Linked DNA regions of Caenorhabditis elegans. The protein of the gene in region 1 purifies or fractionates together with the protein of each later gene. This does not show direct contact. Each region holds a gene or a part of one and is shown in the gene's direction. Other genes may lie near its edges.

The links. The genes of interacting proteins can lie anywhere in the genome.
Region 2: the proteins of par-6 (region 1) and lgl-1 purify together in Caenorhabditis elegans (affinity purification with western blotting; 3 studies listed by BioGRID, with this or other methods). This does not show direct contact.

What each region holds. Positions count from the first base shown.
Region 1 is NC_003279.8:12,666,960-12,675,224, forward strand, and holds par-6 (Partitioning defective protein 6), read left to right. Parts: upstream 1-2,420; 5' UTR 2,421-2,498; intron 2,499-2,666; coding exon 2,667-2,800; intron 2,801-3,332; coding exon 3,333-3,426; intron 3,427-4,356; coding exon 4,357-4,548; intron 4,549-5,295; exon of another isoform or gene 5,296-5,361; intron 5,362-5,397; coding exon 5,398-5,495; intron 5,496-5,564; coding exon 5,565-5,685; intron 5,686-5,735; coding exon 5,736-5,829; intron 5,830-6,889; coding exon 6,890-7,086; 3' UTR 7,087-7,488; downstream 7,489-8,265. Other genes in the region: T26E3.4 (RWD domain-containing protein), read left to right, coding at 149-268, 902-1,005, 1,719-1,775. UniProt on the Caenorhabditis elegans protein: Necessary for apicobasal and anterior-posterior asymmetries associated with cell adhesion and gastrulation during the first few cell cycles of embryogenesis. Required for localizing/ maintaining par-3 at the cell periphery.
Region 2 is NC_003284.9:864,473-873,328, reverse strand, and holds the start of lgl-1 (Lethal giant larvae homologue 2 domain-containing protein), read left to right. Parts: upstream 1-2,239; 5' UTR 2,240-2,330; coding exon 2,331-2,417; intron 2,418-2,668; coding exon 2,669-2,906; intron 2,907-3,260; coding exon 3,261-3,371; intron 3,372-3,718; coding exon 3,719-3,957; intron 3,958-4,003; coding exon 4,004-4,200; intron 4,201-4,345; coding exon 4,346-4,500; intron 4,501-4,551; coding exon 4,552-4,736; intron 4,737-5,613; coding exon 5,614-5,844; intron 5,845-5,892; coding exon 5,893-6,385; intron 6,386-6,564; coding exon 6,565-6,822; intron 6,823-6,973; coding exon 6,974-7,206; intron 7,207-7,410; coding exon 7,411-7,564; intron 7,565-7,616; coding exon 7,617-7,723; intron 7,724-7,848; exon of another isoform or gene 7,849-7,972; intron 7,973-8,114; coding exon 8,115-8,252; 3' UTR 8,253-8,856. Other genes in the region: Putative serine protease F56F10.1, read right to left, coding at 211-398, 445-574, 627-724.

The sequences.
Region 1 (8,265 bases):
ACAAAAAATTCGAGAAAAATGCTCCAAAAGCACTCAAAATTGCTCGAATTTTTTGAAAAATGTCCTAAAAGCCTTGAAAAATCTGAACAAATGTCTCAAAAACTCAAGAAAATGTTATAAAATGGCCAAAAATCTCCAAATTTTCCAGGTACTGTAGTGACACCGGACACATTCCGAGCCTGGAAGGACAGATTTGATGAGGAACGGAAAGCTGAAATTGATGCAGCTGAAAAAGAACGATTGGCATCGTTGGCTGGACGATTAACAGGTGAAAAGCTGTGAAATTGAGCATTTTAGAGCCGGAAAATTGAAGAAAATCGCAGTTTTTCCATGAAAAACGTTGAAAATTGCGATTTTTCAGTGAAAACCTGTAAAAATCGCGATTTTTAACATGGAAAATGGCGGAAAAATGAGGATTTTAGGGCGGAAAACCCCAAAAATTGCAAGTTGCCGCCTGGAAAAACGTAAAAATTGGCGGTTTTCATGCAAAAAATTCGAGATTTTCAGTTAAAAATCAAAGAAAAAGGCTATTTTACGCATGAAAATGGTTAAAAAGTGCAATTTTCAACCGAAAAAACGTAAAAAACCAGAGATTTTTAACCGGAAAATTGGAAAATTGAAGAAAATTGCAGTTAAAATTATCGGAAAATCCCCATTTTTTCAGAAAAATTCACAAAAAAACTCGCAATATCCCGAAAAAATGCTATTTTCCGTCTTTTTAGTGGAAAAAATCATAAAAATCCCGATTCTTGCGATTTTCTACGCCAAAATTATCGAAATTTTGAACTTTTTCAGGCGAAAAATTCATTTAAATCCCATTTTCTGGCTCCAAATCTCACAAAAAATGTGATTTTCCGTCTGAAAATCGCTGAAAATTTCAAAAAAAACCAATATTTTCCAGGACGTCAACTATTCCTTCGTGACGCTACACTCAATCTCTCTGACGTCACACTTATTGGAGCACAAGATGAAGTCGAAATTGATGAGAGCCTCTTTGATAATGAGGTTTCTGGAAAAAACCACTGAAAAATCGATTTTTTACTGAAAATTTACGATTTTCTATTAAAAAATTGCATGAAAAACATGCAAATTCATTGGAAATTGTCGATTTTCGAGTTTTTTTCGGTGAAAATCCGAAAATTTTTTTTTCTTTTTTGAAACGTTCCCTTTTAAAACCTGGAAAAATGTAAAAATTCGCTAAAATCCCCATTTTTTCACTGAAAAATTAGACATTTTTTACTCAAAATTTATTTTTCCATGGAAAACTCTGTTTTTGAGCTAAAAAAAATGCAAAAAATCTGGATTTTTCCGAAGAAAAAGCTTCAAAATTTACAAAATTTGGCATTTTTGGCTGAAAATTCACGATTTTCCACTTTAAAAGTGAATTTTTTGTGATAAACTTCATATTTTCTATCAAAAAATTGAAATTTTCTCACTAAAATTCCGATTTTCTATGGAAAAAACGCCAAAATTCCCACATTTTTCAGTGAAAAGCTACTTGAAAACGCGAAAAATTGCAATTTTATTCCAAAAATTGTTCGAAATTTCGAGTTTTTCTCATAAAATTGATTAATTTCAAGATGAAAATTCGATTTTACTGCCTAAAATGATCAAATTTTCCGATTTTCAACATAAAAAACCTCCAAAAATCCCATTTTTTAGCCTAAAAAACCCCAAAAAATCTCAAATTTCCACTCAAAAAAACCCATTTTTTCCAGGAACTCGAAGGTCTTGAAATGGATTCCGAAGAAGAAGAAGAAGACGATGAAGAATAGGATTTCCCCTCAATTTATTGCATTTTTCTGTGATTTTTCGCCATTTTTTCGGCGAAAAATCCCGTAATTTATCCATTTTTTTGCCCCCCAGTTTTTGTTGATTTTCACGGTTTTTCGTTTCAATTTTTTCCATTTTTTTGCGTAAAGATTTGTTTTAGTTTTAACCTTTTTTTTTGAATTTTTCGCTGTTTTTATCAGCTTTTTTATCGATTTTTTATTGAAAATTTTTGGCGATGAGTCATCAGTTTTTATCAAACTTTTTTGGAGAGTTTTGTGACTCATTTTTACTCAATTTTCAGCGGAAATTTGGTGTTTTGAAGGTTTTTTTTGTAAAAATCGCAAAAAATGCGATTTTTAGCTTGAAATTTCATTTTCCGCTAGAAAAATGTTCAAAATTGCCATTTTTTGGAATTTTTATTCAATTTTTCTACTCAAATTTCCTAAAAATGTCTATTTTCCAACTCAAATTCAGTTTTTTTTTCCGTTGAAAACTGTTCAAAACTCTAACTTTTAAATTAAAATTCAATTTTTTCCATTGAATAATTATTTAAAATCCGATTTTTGATTAATAAATTCAAAAATTATTCACTTAATAATTTTTTCACTTAAAAAAGGTTCAAAAATGTGAAAAAATCCAATTTTCAGCCGAAAAAATCGATATTTCCCACGAAAATTGTGCATTATTTCCGGCTCAACGCGGAGCTGCACCTGTAACTTGTAATTGTGAGTTTTAATTTGCGAAAATCATAATTTTTCAGCTTAAAAGTATGGAAAACGTCGAAAAATGCGATTTTTCTACTCAAAAAAAGCCGGAATTTCCAATTTTCCAGCTGAAAACTGTTAAAAATCGCGTTTTTCAGCTCAAAAAACCCGAAAAATCCAAATTTTCAGATGTCCTACAACGGCTCCTACCATCAAAATCATCATTCAACACTTCAAGTCAAATCGAAATTTGATTCTGAATGGCGTCGTTTCTCAATACCAATGCATTCTGCGTCTGGTGTCTCTTACGATGGGTTCCGGAGGTGATTTTTGGCCATTTTTAGCCGAAAAATCGAAAAATTCAGCGTTTTTTTTTTACCTAAAATACGTCAAAACCCATGTTTTTGACGTAGAAAAACGTTAAAAATTGATTTCTCTACCCAAAAGTTACTGAAATTGTCATTTTTAGGCATAAAATCCCTTAAAATTCAGAAAATCGGATTTTCAACGATTTTCAGCTGAAAAATCCAAGGATTCGGCGTTTTTTGTCCTAAAATACGCGGAAAATGATTTTTTTTACTTGAAAAAATCAGATTTTTTCCGATTTTTACCTTGAAAACCCTAAAAAATCTATTTTCCAAACCAAACTTGGCCAAAATCGGCATTTTTAGGGCTAAAATCATGCGTAAATCGAATTTTCGCCATTTTCAGCCGGAAAATCGAAAAATTCGTCTTTTTTTTTGTGTTTTTTTTTACCAAAAACGAGCGGAAAATGATATTTTACCTGAAAACTCGATTTTTGAAGCAATTTTCCCGTAAAAGTTCAATTTTTCAAGTAAAAATCGATATTTTCAGCCTTGTCGAGAAGCTTCATCACCTGGAAAGTGTCCAATTCACACTGTGCTACAACTCGACTGGCGGTGATCTTCTACCAATCACAAATGACGATGTTAGTAGCGGAAAACTGAAGAAAATTGATTTTTTCAGTGAAAAAAAAAACGAAAAAATCGAGTAAAAATGACATAAAATTGATATTTTTCACTAAAAAATGCTAAAAATTCAATTAAAATGTCTCGAAAATTGATTTTTTCAGCTTAAAGTTAGTCAAAATCGATTTTTAAAACAGCTCAAAAATCGTTAAAAAATAAAAATAATAATAATAAAAAAATCGATTTAATATTCGGGTGTCTCCTACGAGGACAAAAAATCGATCGATTTGAAAACTCACAGAAAAGTCGAAAAAAATCACAAAAAATCAATTAAAAATTGATTTAAAAACTCAAAAAATCGATAAAAATCTCAAAAAAAAATCGATAAAAATCGATAAAAAGTCTATAAAAATCTGAATGTTAGTAGGGAAAACTGAAGAAAATTGATTTTTTCGGTGAAAAAATCGAGAAAAATCGAGTAAAAATGACCTAAAATTGATATTTTTCACTAAAAAATGCTGAAAATTACTAAAACATCACTTATCGATAAAAATCACAAAATTTCGCTAAAAAATCACTAAACATCTTAAAAAATCGATAAAAAGTCCTAAACTACAAAAAATTGATTTAAAAAAATCGAAAAAAGTCTCAAAAAATTGAAACAAAAATCACAAAAATTCGGTGAAAAATCCCCAAAAAATCAATAAAAATCACAAAAAGAATCGATAAAAAATTACAAAAAAACTCAAAAATCGCTTTAAAAAATCAATACAAAACCCCAAGAAATCGGAAAAAATCGATAAAAAATCGATAAAAATCTGTTGAAAAATCACAAAAATTCGGTAAAAAATCCCCAAAAAATCAATAAAAATCACAAAAAGAATCGATAAATTCCTAGAAAAATCCCAAAAATCGATAAAATCCCAAAACTACCATTATTTTTTTTGCAGAACCTCCGAAAATCGTTCGAATCGGCTCGCCCACTGCTCCGTTTGCTCATTCAACGCCGCGGTGAATCATGGGAAGAGAAATATGGTTATGGTACAGACTCTGATAAACGATGGAAGGGAATTTCATCACTTATGGCACAAAAACCACCGAAACGCAGTTATTCAATCTCGAATCCCGAAGATTTTCGACAGGTAATGGGTCTCACAGCGAAAAAAGTGGAATTTTTGAATTCAGCTCGCTGAGAGCTTCGAAATAAGTATAATCATGACCGGGTTACGATGGATTTGAAAAAAGTTGGGTCTCGCCACGAAAAATCGAAACCACAGTAATCCCGTTTCGTGATGGGACCCAAAAATTTCAAATTTCGCAGAACCTAGTCATGATTATACTTATTTGAAAGCTATTGATGAGTTGAATTCAAATTCCGGAAAAAATTTTGAAAATTTCAATTTTTGGTCCCACCACGAAGGAAATTTTCGCTGCGGGACCCAAAATTTTGGAAATCTTCAAATTTTCCGGAGCCCAGTCATGATTATACTTATTTGAAAGCTCTCGGTGAGCTGAATTCGGTTGAACTCATGAAATTGCAAAAATCTGGTCCCGCCACGAAAGTGCCAACCTACAGTAACCCCAATTTCGCGGTGGGACCCGCATATTTCAAAGTTAACGGAACCCATGATTATACTAGTTTTAAAGCTGACAGTGCTCCCAATTCAAAAATATTGATAAAAATCTCAAAAATTGGATCCCACCACCACGAAAATGCCAACATACAGTAATCCCATTTTCGTGGCGAGACCAACAATTTTCAAAGTTCGCGGAACCTAGTCATTCCATTATACTTGTTTGAAAGCTCCCAGTGAGCTGAATTCAGATTTCGCAGTAATTTTCTAAAATTTCGTCACTTTTCGTGGCGGGACCCAAATTTTAGGAGAATTTTCAAAATTGGCAAAACCTAGTCATGATTATACTTATTTTGAAGCCCTTAACGAGCTGAATTCAAATTTCCCATTAATTTTTAAAAATTTTCAATTTTGCAGGTCTCTGCAATCATCGACGTGGACATTGTGCCAGAAGCTCATCGCCGTGTCCGTCTCTGCAAGCACGGACAAGAACGACCACTTGGATTCTATATTCGGTATCGATTTTTCTGGAAATTTCAGATTTCTTGCCAGAAAATCCCAAAAATCTGCAATTCTTTTTTCAGTGACGGAACATCGGTTCGAGTGACAGAACGAGGCGTCGTCAAAGTTTCAGGAATTTTCATTTCCCGGCTTGTCGATGGTGGGCTCGCCGAGTCCACAGGCCTTCTTGGTGTTAATGACGAGGTTTTTAATGGAATTTTCAGAGTTTTTAATCTAAAAATTCCGGTTTTCAGGTGCTCGAGGTGAATGGAATTGAGGTTCTCGGAAAGACGCTGGATCAGGTCACTGATATGATGGTCGCCAATGCTCATAACTTGATTATTACTGGTATATAATCCGGAAATTTGAATTCAGCACGCCGAGAGCTTTGAAATAAGTATAATCATGACTAGGTTAAGATTATTTTGAAAAAAATTGGGTCTCACCGCGAAAATTGCGAGAACCCACTTTTTAAAAAATTTCATTAGAAAATTTGAATTCAGCACACCGAGAGCTTTCAAATGCGTATAATCATGGCTATATTCTGTCAAACTTGGAAAATTCGGGTCTCGCCAAGAAAATGATAAACTACAGTAACCCATTTTCGCGATGGGACCCAAAATTTTCGCATGTGACGCAATCTTGTCGTGTTTATACTTATTTGAAAGCCCTTGATGAGCTGAAAACGAATTTACTAAAAAATTTGAGAAGTTTCAATTTTTGGGCCCGACCACGAAACTGATTTTCGCGATGAGACCCAAAATTTTGGAAAAAATTAGATTTTCGCCAAACCTAGTCATTATTATACTAGTTTTGAAGCTCTTGGTAAGATGAAATCGAAAAATCTAATTGAAATAGCGAAAATTGGGTATCACCACGAAAATCGCTGCCTACAGTAACCCAGTTTTCGTGGTGGGGTCCGAAAATTTAAAATTTCGCATAACCTAGTCTTGATTATGTTTATTTTAAAGCTCTAGGCGAGCGGAAGTTGAATTATTTAACAAAAATCTAAAATTTCAATTTTGGGGCACGACCACGAAATTGGCTTTCGCGGTGGGACCCAACATTTTGGAAAATTTTAAATGTCCGCCAACCTAGTCATAATTATACTTATTTGAAAGCTCGGTAAGCTGAAATCGAAAAATCTAAATGAAATCGCGAAAACTGGGTCCCCCACTAAAATCCCAACCTACAGTAACCCAGTTTTCGTGGCGGGACCCAAAATTTCGGAAAATGTTCAAAATAAACATAGCCTAGTCATGATTATACTTGTTTGGAAGCTCTCAGCGAGCTGATTTTAAATTCTGTAGTAATTATAAAAAACAAAATTTTCAGAAATTTTTTTTCGAAAAAAAAATTTCAAATTTATTTTTTTTTTGAAAATTCAAAAAATCCCAATATTTTCCAGTAAAACCTGCCAACCAACGAAACACACTGTCACGAGGACCGTCACAACAAGGAACACCGAACGCCAGTGAGATGTCGGCCGCCACCGCAGCCGCTACAGGTGGAATTCAGCGCCCGATGAAAATGAACGGAAGCTCCGACGGCAGTTATCATCCGAAACAGCACGACGCAAATGATTCGGACAGTGGAGAGGACTGAAAAACTCTTTTCAGCCATTTTTCCTCGATTTTTTCAGAAAAAAAAACCACAAAATGTGACCATTTTTATACATAATTATATTATTTATATTCTCGCTAAAACCACACACACACACAACCAAAACCGCTTAATTTATTTATTTTCCCCTTTTTCTCCTAATTTTTAATCAAATTTGTCGGCTTTCTCTTCACTTTTTTGCGCACAATTTTCACTTTTATTTCCCCCGTTTCTCGCCCCAAAATGTGCCTTCCTTTCGCCCTTTTTATGTGATTTTTCCCCTTCAGAGCTCTCTGAGCCCATACTTTTTTTTTCGAACTTTGGCTCAAATTTTTTGACAACAGACACGACATACAATTTTTCCCCTGAAATTCACATTATTAGTGAGAATAAATTATTTATTTCAAGCTTTGAGAGATCAGCATTGTGAAAAAAATGTTGCCATTACGGGGACTCGAACCATGGCCTTTTGACTGGAAGCTTTTTCGTCGAAAATCCCACTGCTCCATTTGGACATTTTTGACAATTTCCCAGAAATGACATAATTTCGGGTAAATTTGAATTTTATTGAGTTCTTGACGATTTAAGGCTTTAAAAACTGAGAAAATCTACATTTTCAGCCGATATTCCGCTGATTATTCTCAAATTCTTATTTTTCAAGGTTTTTCTCTGCTGTTTAGGAATTGATATTATAATTTTTGGGTTGAGAATTGAAAGTTTAGCCTAACAACACTATGGAAAAAAGTTTGCCACAGTGGAGACTCGAACCACGGTCCTTTGACTGGAAGCTTTTTCGTCGAAAATCCCACTGCGCCATTTGTACAGCATTTTTGAAAAGTGCCCAGTAATGAAAAGTCTGTAATAAAATGTTACCTTTGAGTGATTTTTTGATGATTTAATGTTATAAAATCTGTGCAAATCTGAAGTTTCAGTTGATTTCCTACAAGAATGAGAAAATTCGTAGTTTTCCGACATTTTTACACTTTTCAGCTTGGGAAACATTGTTTTTTACACTCAGCGCTCTTGAATTAGTCATATACACTCTAATAAAAATATATGCCACTATGGGGACTCGAACCCTGGTCTTGTGAGTGGTAGCCGTCGAAAATCGCACTGAGCCACTCGGACAAATTTCTGAAAAACAGTTTGAAATTCAAAATTTTGCCTTTATACTCGTATTTA
Region 2 (8,856 bases), on another chromosome or scaffold:
TTTAAATGTAGAAAAATATTCCATTTCCCTGATACTTACTTCACATATCTGCTATTTTTTTGAGAAATAAATGCTATTTTTTTGTGAAATAAACACACTTTAATTAACAAGTTGCGCGAAAGATTTTAGGCAATTTTCCAAACCTTACATACTCATTTTTATTCAGAGACTGAACTTAAAAACTTCTCGTTAAAAAAATGCTGCACATACGGAATTGGCCAACTGTCTCCAAAGAATCTGTGCTCCAAATCAAAAACATCGGCTCCGAACTCTTTAGCCCATTGTAGGTACTGAACATTTGGGTTTGCTGCCCATTTTCCATTCTCTGGGCCTTCTCCTCCAATCATTAAGAAAATGATTGAGTTGTTTCTAGAGAATACTGGATTGTAAAAATATTTCTGTAAATTAAGGCAGTTTGAAAAAACTATTCTTTGAATTAATTACCTGATTCCATGTTTTCGTGTTGTATGGATCAAAATGATCCAGCTTCTGGGTGAAATTATGAACTTGCAAATTTGGGTAAGTCTCTTGAATGCTTGCCCCATCAGACGCTGTTAACCGGTCCAAATGGTGACTAGAATTCAAAAAAGAGATTAAATTAAATTTTCATCAAAAAATCTACTTACTTCAACAATGTTTTCCCATTTAGTCTTCCCAAGAAAAATGGAGGTAATTTTGCTTCAATCAGTAAAGGTAGTAGTAAAAGCAATAAATTCCGCAACATTCCTAAATAAAAAAGTTTAAGAATGATATACACCTATACTTTTGCCAAAAAGTGAAAAATGCACAGTTTATCAAGCGGGAATGATTACAAAATCACTATCGTTATCAATTATTTCTGTTTGACTAGTCGCAGATTCGTTTTCAGTCTTTCTAAAGTCATCATCTTGTAAGAAGGAATTGTTGAGAAAAGTAAGAAATTGGAAAACGAGACATTTATGAACAAAAAGGTAATCTGAAAGTTGGTTCCAGTTATTCACTCCGATCCGTGCATGTTTCAGTTTTTGCCGAACATTCCGTCATAAGTGCGGTTCCATGGAAGGCAGGCGCGGTTTCAGGCCTCCAACCTGCCAAGCTTTTGCCTCATTTCTGCATAATTACATGAAGTCAAAGGCTTGATGCTCATTCCACTTAGTGCGAACGGTGGTTCTTCCGCCGCGGCCGACACTTCTTGGGTTCCGCGCCACACTACACAGGAAGCACGGCTCGCGGCGCGAGGCATGCGGTTGTTGTGAAACGGGCGCTGCAGGCGTTTCGTCACCTACGTGAAAGCCCTAAATTGCGAACTTTTTTTTAGGCAAATTCATGATTGGTCAGTAAATACCGCCTAATTAAAATTACATGTATAAACCAGTGTCGATCATTATTTGATTAGTGCGAAGGTTCATTTGGTCAGTGCCAAACTTATCTATGCCAGTGCCAAAATTATTTGGGTCAGTGCGTGCTATTTTTTTTAGCAAAGTCAGAAATTATATGGTGATGTTTATGAGAAAATACAAATTCCGCTCCTGCTAATAAAATGACACTGTAATATCTATTGAATATTCATGATAATAATAAATTCTCCTACCACTGAGATCCCCAAAAATGTTTTATAGCTCATAAAATCCTTCTGCCGCCCATTTTTTAATTTCCGCATTCCCCAGGAGTTAAAATATTCATTGTTTTTCATTAACTGTTTTTTTTCTATAAATATTGATCCCAGTTTTTATATTTTGTTCACTTCAATTTTTTTTCTAATTTTGCCACTTATTTCCCAAATATCAGGACCTTGCCTTTATGTTTAGCAGGCAAGTTCAATTTAATTGAGTCATTGTGTATAACTTAAAAACGCTTCAAAAGTAAACAAAAGTTATGTTTGCTTGTTAATTTGCCATGTACATTAGGTTTGGTTAATTCTAAGTTTGGTCAGTGCAGTAGCAGCAGCAGCTATCTGGGTCAATAGGTACGATAACCTTGAATTACTTGCAATCTGTTCGTGTCCAACACGTTTACACCCTTCGCGCATTTCGCAACACCTGCTAGGGCACCCTATTACCTATCGACCACCCAGCGGTCACTGGTGCGGTTCATTTAGCAACATTCATTCAAATGACTGAGTCACCCCCACCTCTCTTTTCCCTCTCAACCCCACCACAATTGTGCGCAAACAACAAGGGGTGCGTTCCGACTCGGCGTCTCTTCAGTTCACCTGATCTTTTCTCGCTTCTCTCTTTCTCTTCTCCCCGTCCTACTCTCTCGCTTTGGGTCTATTCCTTTCCTTTTTCCGTGTTCACTTATACGGTTCTATGTGACTTTTTTCGGTTTAGACACCTCGAATTTGGGTTAATATGAGCAGCATCTTACGATTTATCCGGTCCAAGTTTTATCACGAACCCGAGGAGCATGCCATAGAACAATATGCGGTTTTCGATGAGGTATGTGTTTAGATTTTGGTTGAACATGTATTTGAAATATTTTGAAACGTTTAAATGTTCTTTTAATTTGCATTAGGTCATCCAGAAAATTTATTTTAAGAATGCTGTAGAATAGCACATAATCAGAAAAATTTTTAAAAAAGTTATACTGGGAACGAAAACTTGTCAAATTTCAACTGAACAATAATTGCCAAATTCGAAATATTTTCTAATTTATTCCCCGCTCATCAGTTCAAAATTATTTATTTTAGGGAAACCGCGGTGGATTCACTTCTGACGTCGTAGCATTTGACTACCACAACGGATGTGTTGTAATTGGATCTAAAAACGGAGAAGTCACATTTTACGGCTACCGAGGAGCTTCATGGACAGTTAGCTTGAGCAAGGACAGTGAGAATAAAGCGAGAATCGAGCACATTTTCTTCATATCCTCAAACATTGCATTGGTTCTTTGTGATGGACAGCTGATTATCCCAATTCATATCAAAGGTTATTTCGTTTTAAAATTATACTAAAATAGGAATGTATGGCAGTTCTTAAAATTTGCCGCACATGCTACAAATTTACAAAAAAAAATTTGATTTCATATTAAAAAATTTGTAGATGAAGTTACTTACTAATAGAAAAGAAAGAACCTAATAAAAAATCTAACGTGTTCCAAGCATTCAGTCAGTAGTAGTAGTCCTACAAAAAAAAATTTTTAAGTCACATTTATCCAAATTTGTTAAGCCTGGCAAATTCTGAAACTTACCAAACGACATGTTTTCAAAATTTCGCCGAACAATTTCGGCAAAATATCGGCTGTAAATTCAATTAAAAGATTTTAAAAATTATATTTTTCAGATGGTGTAATAACAAAAAAGGAGGAACTGCGATTTAACGAAAATCACAAATCAAAATGGGATATAACGCATGTCCAAAAGTTATCAGATGACACATTTGCCCTAGTTTTTTGTAAGTTTTTCATTGAAACTTAGTTTCAAAAAAATTGCACGATGTTGATATAGTTGTGCAAATTAATTTTCAAACTAAAGCGTAAAAGTCTTCCCAGAGAAAAAAAAACAATTAAAAATTGAAAATGGTAAGATTTACAGCAATATGGCATTTCAGTCAAACCAAACTTTCTTTTCAACTTTATCAAATTGACTCCGAAATAAGTGTGAAAAAATATTGAAAAACTGGAAACTAGGTTTACCGTAACAGGAATTTATTTTCAATCAAGCTTCATTATGACGTGAGCAAAACAGAAAGCATTTATGGTTTTGATAGCTTGTAAGTCCAAAAAGTTTCAATTTTTACAGCCATGAATAACACAATATACCGAATCAAATCCAAAACCCTCAAATCAGAAGTTCTCGTCAAAGCTGAAGATTTTGAAAAATGGCTGCCTGACGACACAGAGCTCGCCAGTATAACCTGCTTACCGGAAAAGCCATCAATTTTGATGCTCATTGCGGAAAACGGTTGTGTTGGCGTATTTAACGAATCACAGTTTGTCATGAAGACCAGTCTACGGAACTATGAGGATGAAGCTATACAGGTGTGTTGAAACTTTTTTTTTCTTTTTTTAAATGTGTTCTCTACAGAAACTTCACTGGAGTAGCGAGAAGAAGAAAAATGTAGCTTTTGGCATTTCTTGCAATAATAAATACACAAAATGGGAGTTTACAGTTGGAAAAGACTGTCAGATAAGTGCTCAAGAAGTGAATGTCTACAGTGCGAATCAATTTGGACCCTATCCTTGCCATCAAATTCGACATTTCTCTGTTTGTGCTGATGCGTCGTAAGTTTTCGTTTAAAGTTTTCAAAATAAAGGTTTTGTTTCAAAAATAAAAATAAAAACTCATTTTCATAAAGTCAATTTCATACAAATCGCCTTCTCGGAGTTTCTCTGCTTGGATTTACTATAATTATTTGCCTCATTTCAGGGATCCTAACGAGAACTTCCTCATCTACCAAGGAGGCAAAAGTTCTGGAAAGTACGACGATAGAGATCTGATCACAATTAGCCATGGCGACTTTGTTGAAAAACTGGAGCTCTCATCGGAAATTGTAGGGATTGTTGGTGTCAGTGGTAGTTACGGTACTGAAAATTATTCGAACTATTTTTTTCCTAATTTTGAATATGTTCCAGAAGATTGCAAGAAAAGTGGAGTGGTATTAATATGCACAAAATGCGAGATCATTGGAATCGATTTGGAAAGGGAGTCGTTGAATATGATGCAGCCGAAACATTTTCTTTCGATTAATAATAGTACGCCAACTACCCACTCGAGAGCTATTGAAATTGAGGAAAATGTATGGAATCGTCTTGAATCGGTTAGGTTTTGTTTTTCTTTTTTAACTTTTGGAAAGGGTAATTTCTCATAGTAGGGCAGATAGCTCAGTCGGTAGTGGTGGCCGCTAGCAGTCTGGAGGTCACGAGTTCAAGTCCGGCCTCACCCCCTAGGTTCACCCAGCCTCTATTGGGAAGTGGAGCAATCCACGACTGGATTATCGGCCACAGTCCCCGGCTAGGACGTGACTTAAATTACAGCCCAGAGGGATCACCACCAGGCAGTGTACCTGAATCCCAGATCCGCAGTGCATAGCACTTGAAGAACGGATCGTCCTTTAATCCTTTAATCCTTTTTAATAATAGTACGCCAACTACCCACTCGAGAGCTATTGAAATTGAGGAAAATGTATGGAATCGTCTGGAATCGGTTAGGTTTTGTTTTTCTTTTTTAACTTTTGGAAAGGGTAATTTCTCATAGTAGTGCTAAAATTCGTCATGGTAGTGCTAAATTTTTTATTTGCAAGTTTATATAGAAACATAGAGAAATATTTATACTTTCTAAAAAAATTTAACTTCAAATGCACGTATGTAGAAAATGTTCGAAAACTGCCTAGGAGTCGCAGTGTGCCGCGTAACTGTGCCAACCGGCAAATTGGCTTTTTGAGTCAGTTTTTGAGCACCTTCTCAAAACTTTCAATTAAGACTAAAGTAATATTCAGAAAGTGATAATATTGTTCAGTATGTCTCCACAAAAAAACTTCTATACAACAATGAAAAACTACCTGCTGCTACTGTAGAAAATTCTGAACTTGAAATTCGACAATTTTTACGTTGCGCAAACCTTTTTGACTTGAAAAACATTTTGCATCCTTGTTAAATTTTTATAGTTATTTTAGTCATTTATTATGTTTTCTTCAGGCCAGCAAATCCTATTGGGAGACTAACCAGATGTCAACCAGAGACTGGCCGTTGAACTTTCAAAAGAAGATAGTCACCGACGCGAACCATCAACGAGCTTCTTACCGACAAGTTTATTTGAGTGGTCATTCAAATGGAAATATTTGTATATGGTCTTCCGGTGGAGTTGGAATGTCCTTGATGCTAGTTATCCGCACTTCATTGGAGTTTGACGGCGCATCTAGTTTTGATGTAAGTAACTATTTTAGGAAACAGTGAATATTGTGTGTAAACTTTTAGAACGAAGATTCAAATTACTACAATAGCGACGAGAAACCTGAAAAACCAGTGCGCAAAATTGGCCTCTATGATCCGTTTGATGACGACGAAGAAATGTGTATCACCCGTGTGCACTTTGATCCGAAATCTGGAATTGTGATTGGAACGAATCGAGGTGGCTATGTACTAATGTATGAACTTTGGGATTCTGCGAGAACTCTCACACATTGGGAGGCCACACCGATCAGCTGCAATAATTCTCCGCCAGACACGAGAAAACGAGCGCTAAAGCCTAGGAAAGCAGAATTAAAGTACAATGCGGGTTATCAAATACGGCTTAAAAACGAGAGTGATCTACCGTTGGTGTTCTCAATGCATCCCAGCCACCGAATCACCGATATTGTCTATCTTCACAAGTATCACTGCTTGGCAGTTGGAAGTAACTTTGGAATTGTGATGCTTGATGTAAACTTTGGATATCTTGTCTATGCGAATTCATTCAATGATGACAACAGTGAGTTTTCAGATAATTTGGAAAGAACAAAGTTTGTAGATTGGGGAGTCTGACCCCGGGATGATTGGAAATTGCTAACAATTTTGAAAATTAGCAATTATCGAAACCACCAGTTTTCAAAACCATGAAGCTCGGCCGCCTTTAACATAAAGCATCTTCGAAGTCTACGCTCATTTCAGATGATTCAAGTAATGTCAGTGCCAACCAATTCCAACGATTCAAAAGTCTCAAGAAGTCACTTCGAAAGACGTTCCGACGAAAAAAGAAGGGCACTGAAACATTAATGGATTCAGGAGGTGCAGTGGCTTCATCTTCAAATCATGTGCAGCATGAGACAAGTCCAAAGCGAATTGACGATTTTGAAGAGGAAGAGGTGTTCATGGAGAGACCAATTGAAGCAAGGGAAGAGCTGGGAGTGCTGGATTGCTATGCTGAGAGTAAGTGGAAATCTGAAACGGGGTTTTTTGAAGTGCTCATAGATTAGGTGAAAAGCCTTAAACGTGGTCACATGCTTTTCAAAATCTTCAAATCTTCTGAATAAAAATCAAAAGCAATTCCTATCTCACCCTGAAATTTCAATATTTCCAGATTCCAAAGGAACCGTAACATGTCTCCGAATGATGCGCTTTCCGGTGCTCGACGACAAAAATGTAGATGACATTATAGCTGTGGGGCTCCACGAAGGCTCTGTCTACTTTTACGCAATCAGCGAACATGATGTTGGACTAAGAATGACGTTCAAAGCGGAACAGATTAAGAAACTCTCGATTCCTCACAAGCAACCGGTTGTTAATCTAGATATCACAAATGAGGAAGGATATGTAAGTTGAGATTTGGAGTGTGAATGAAAAAGAGTTGCAAAATTGCCAGTTTTTAGTTTATGCGAATGTAGTCAAAATTCTAGAATTTTTCGTGTCTCCCATGTGTTTTTTTTTCAAATTTCCCGGTGCGCGACTCCGCGGCATTAGCGTATCCCCAGTTAACTCCGTGAAATTATTCATACTCAATTTATTTGGTTATTTCAGTTCTCCGCATCCACTCGAATCGTCGTCATCACCGAGGAGCAGCTGCGAATCTATAATTGTCAGCCGATGGTGAAACGCGACAGTTATAAGATCACTGCGCTGGAAGGGCTGAAGATCAAAAATGGAATGGTGGCTAGGATATTGAATAAAAAGAGTGAGATTTCCTGAATTTGAAAAAAAAACATTTAATATGAATTGAGATTCAGATTCCAACAATTTCGAATCATTTGTGGTTTTGGTAGCAAACGATGGAAGTCTACGGGTTCATTCTGTTCAAAAAGCTTCTTCATTTGAGTCGAGGAAGTTTATAGACGTGAGTAAAGACAGAAAGGTCCCGCCAGGAACCGTTTTATACGATTGTAACTACGTATCTGCCACTTAGACGCATTGAAAGTCTTTCAAGCAACAAACATTTTTATTGACACATTTTTCCGTCCACCTCCGTGCCGTCGATAGCTCAGTTGGTAGAGCGGAGGACTGTAGAGTCAGCAGGTATCCTTAGGTCACTGGTTCGAATCCGGTTCGACGGATTTCTTTTTTGTTTTTGGTTGTTTTTTAAGCCAGCCGCTAGCACGCGCCAAGTGTGCACGTGTTGCCTTCTGAAAATTCTGAAAGGTCAACGCATAGGTGGCGCTGAGAAGTGGTTAAGTTTCCTGCACAATGTCTAATTTTGCTTTTCTCCGTTCTAAACTAGAATTTTTCAGCCAATCGACGTAATGGCACTAAACTCGAGTTGTTTATCACGTGATGGTGACGTGGCATTCCTCATCAAATCCTCCGAACTACAGCGAAGTACGGTGAATTTGAACTTTCGCGGTTGGAGCAGTACGCACAAGTCATAGATGCATTTTTTTTAAAAATCGTTTTCCTGTTGATATATATTAATTTTGTTTGAAATGGTGGTTTTTTTTAAACTTTATTATGTTATTTATTTGCCCTCGGTCTTTGCCTTTTTTGTCAATATATACGTTGCGTATGAAAAACTAATTTTAAACGATTTTTAATTTTTGAAACATGCTACACTATTGCAGGCGATTAGAGAAAATGGAAAAATTCGTATTTTTTGTACGTTTGGAAAAATTGAAGAATCTATAATTTCTAGGAGAGTGTTTCTTTAATACCTATCAAATCTAATTTTTAAAAATAAAACTTTAAAGATTGTCAATAGTTGCCTCTTCAAAATTACTAGATGCCTGTACATAACTCCCTTCCAGATCGATCTCCAATTTTCAAAACTTCAAGAACGGGAAGTCCCGATATTACTGTAAACTACAAAAATGCCTTGCTTACGTGACAATTGCAAAGGTTTTGTCTGATAAGATAAGATATTAGTCGACTAACGCCATCAGTTTCACATCAGATGACGTCATTTCCAAACCACGCCCCTTTGTAACGGTAACTTGTGATAACACTAATCACCTAATAAATACTGAATCTGATCAGTTG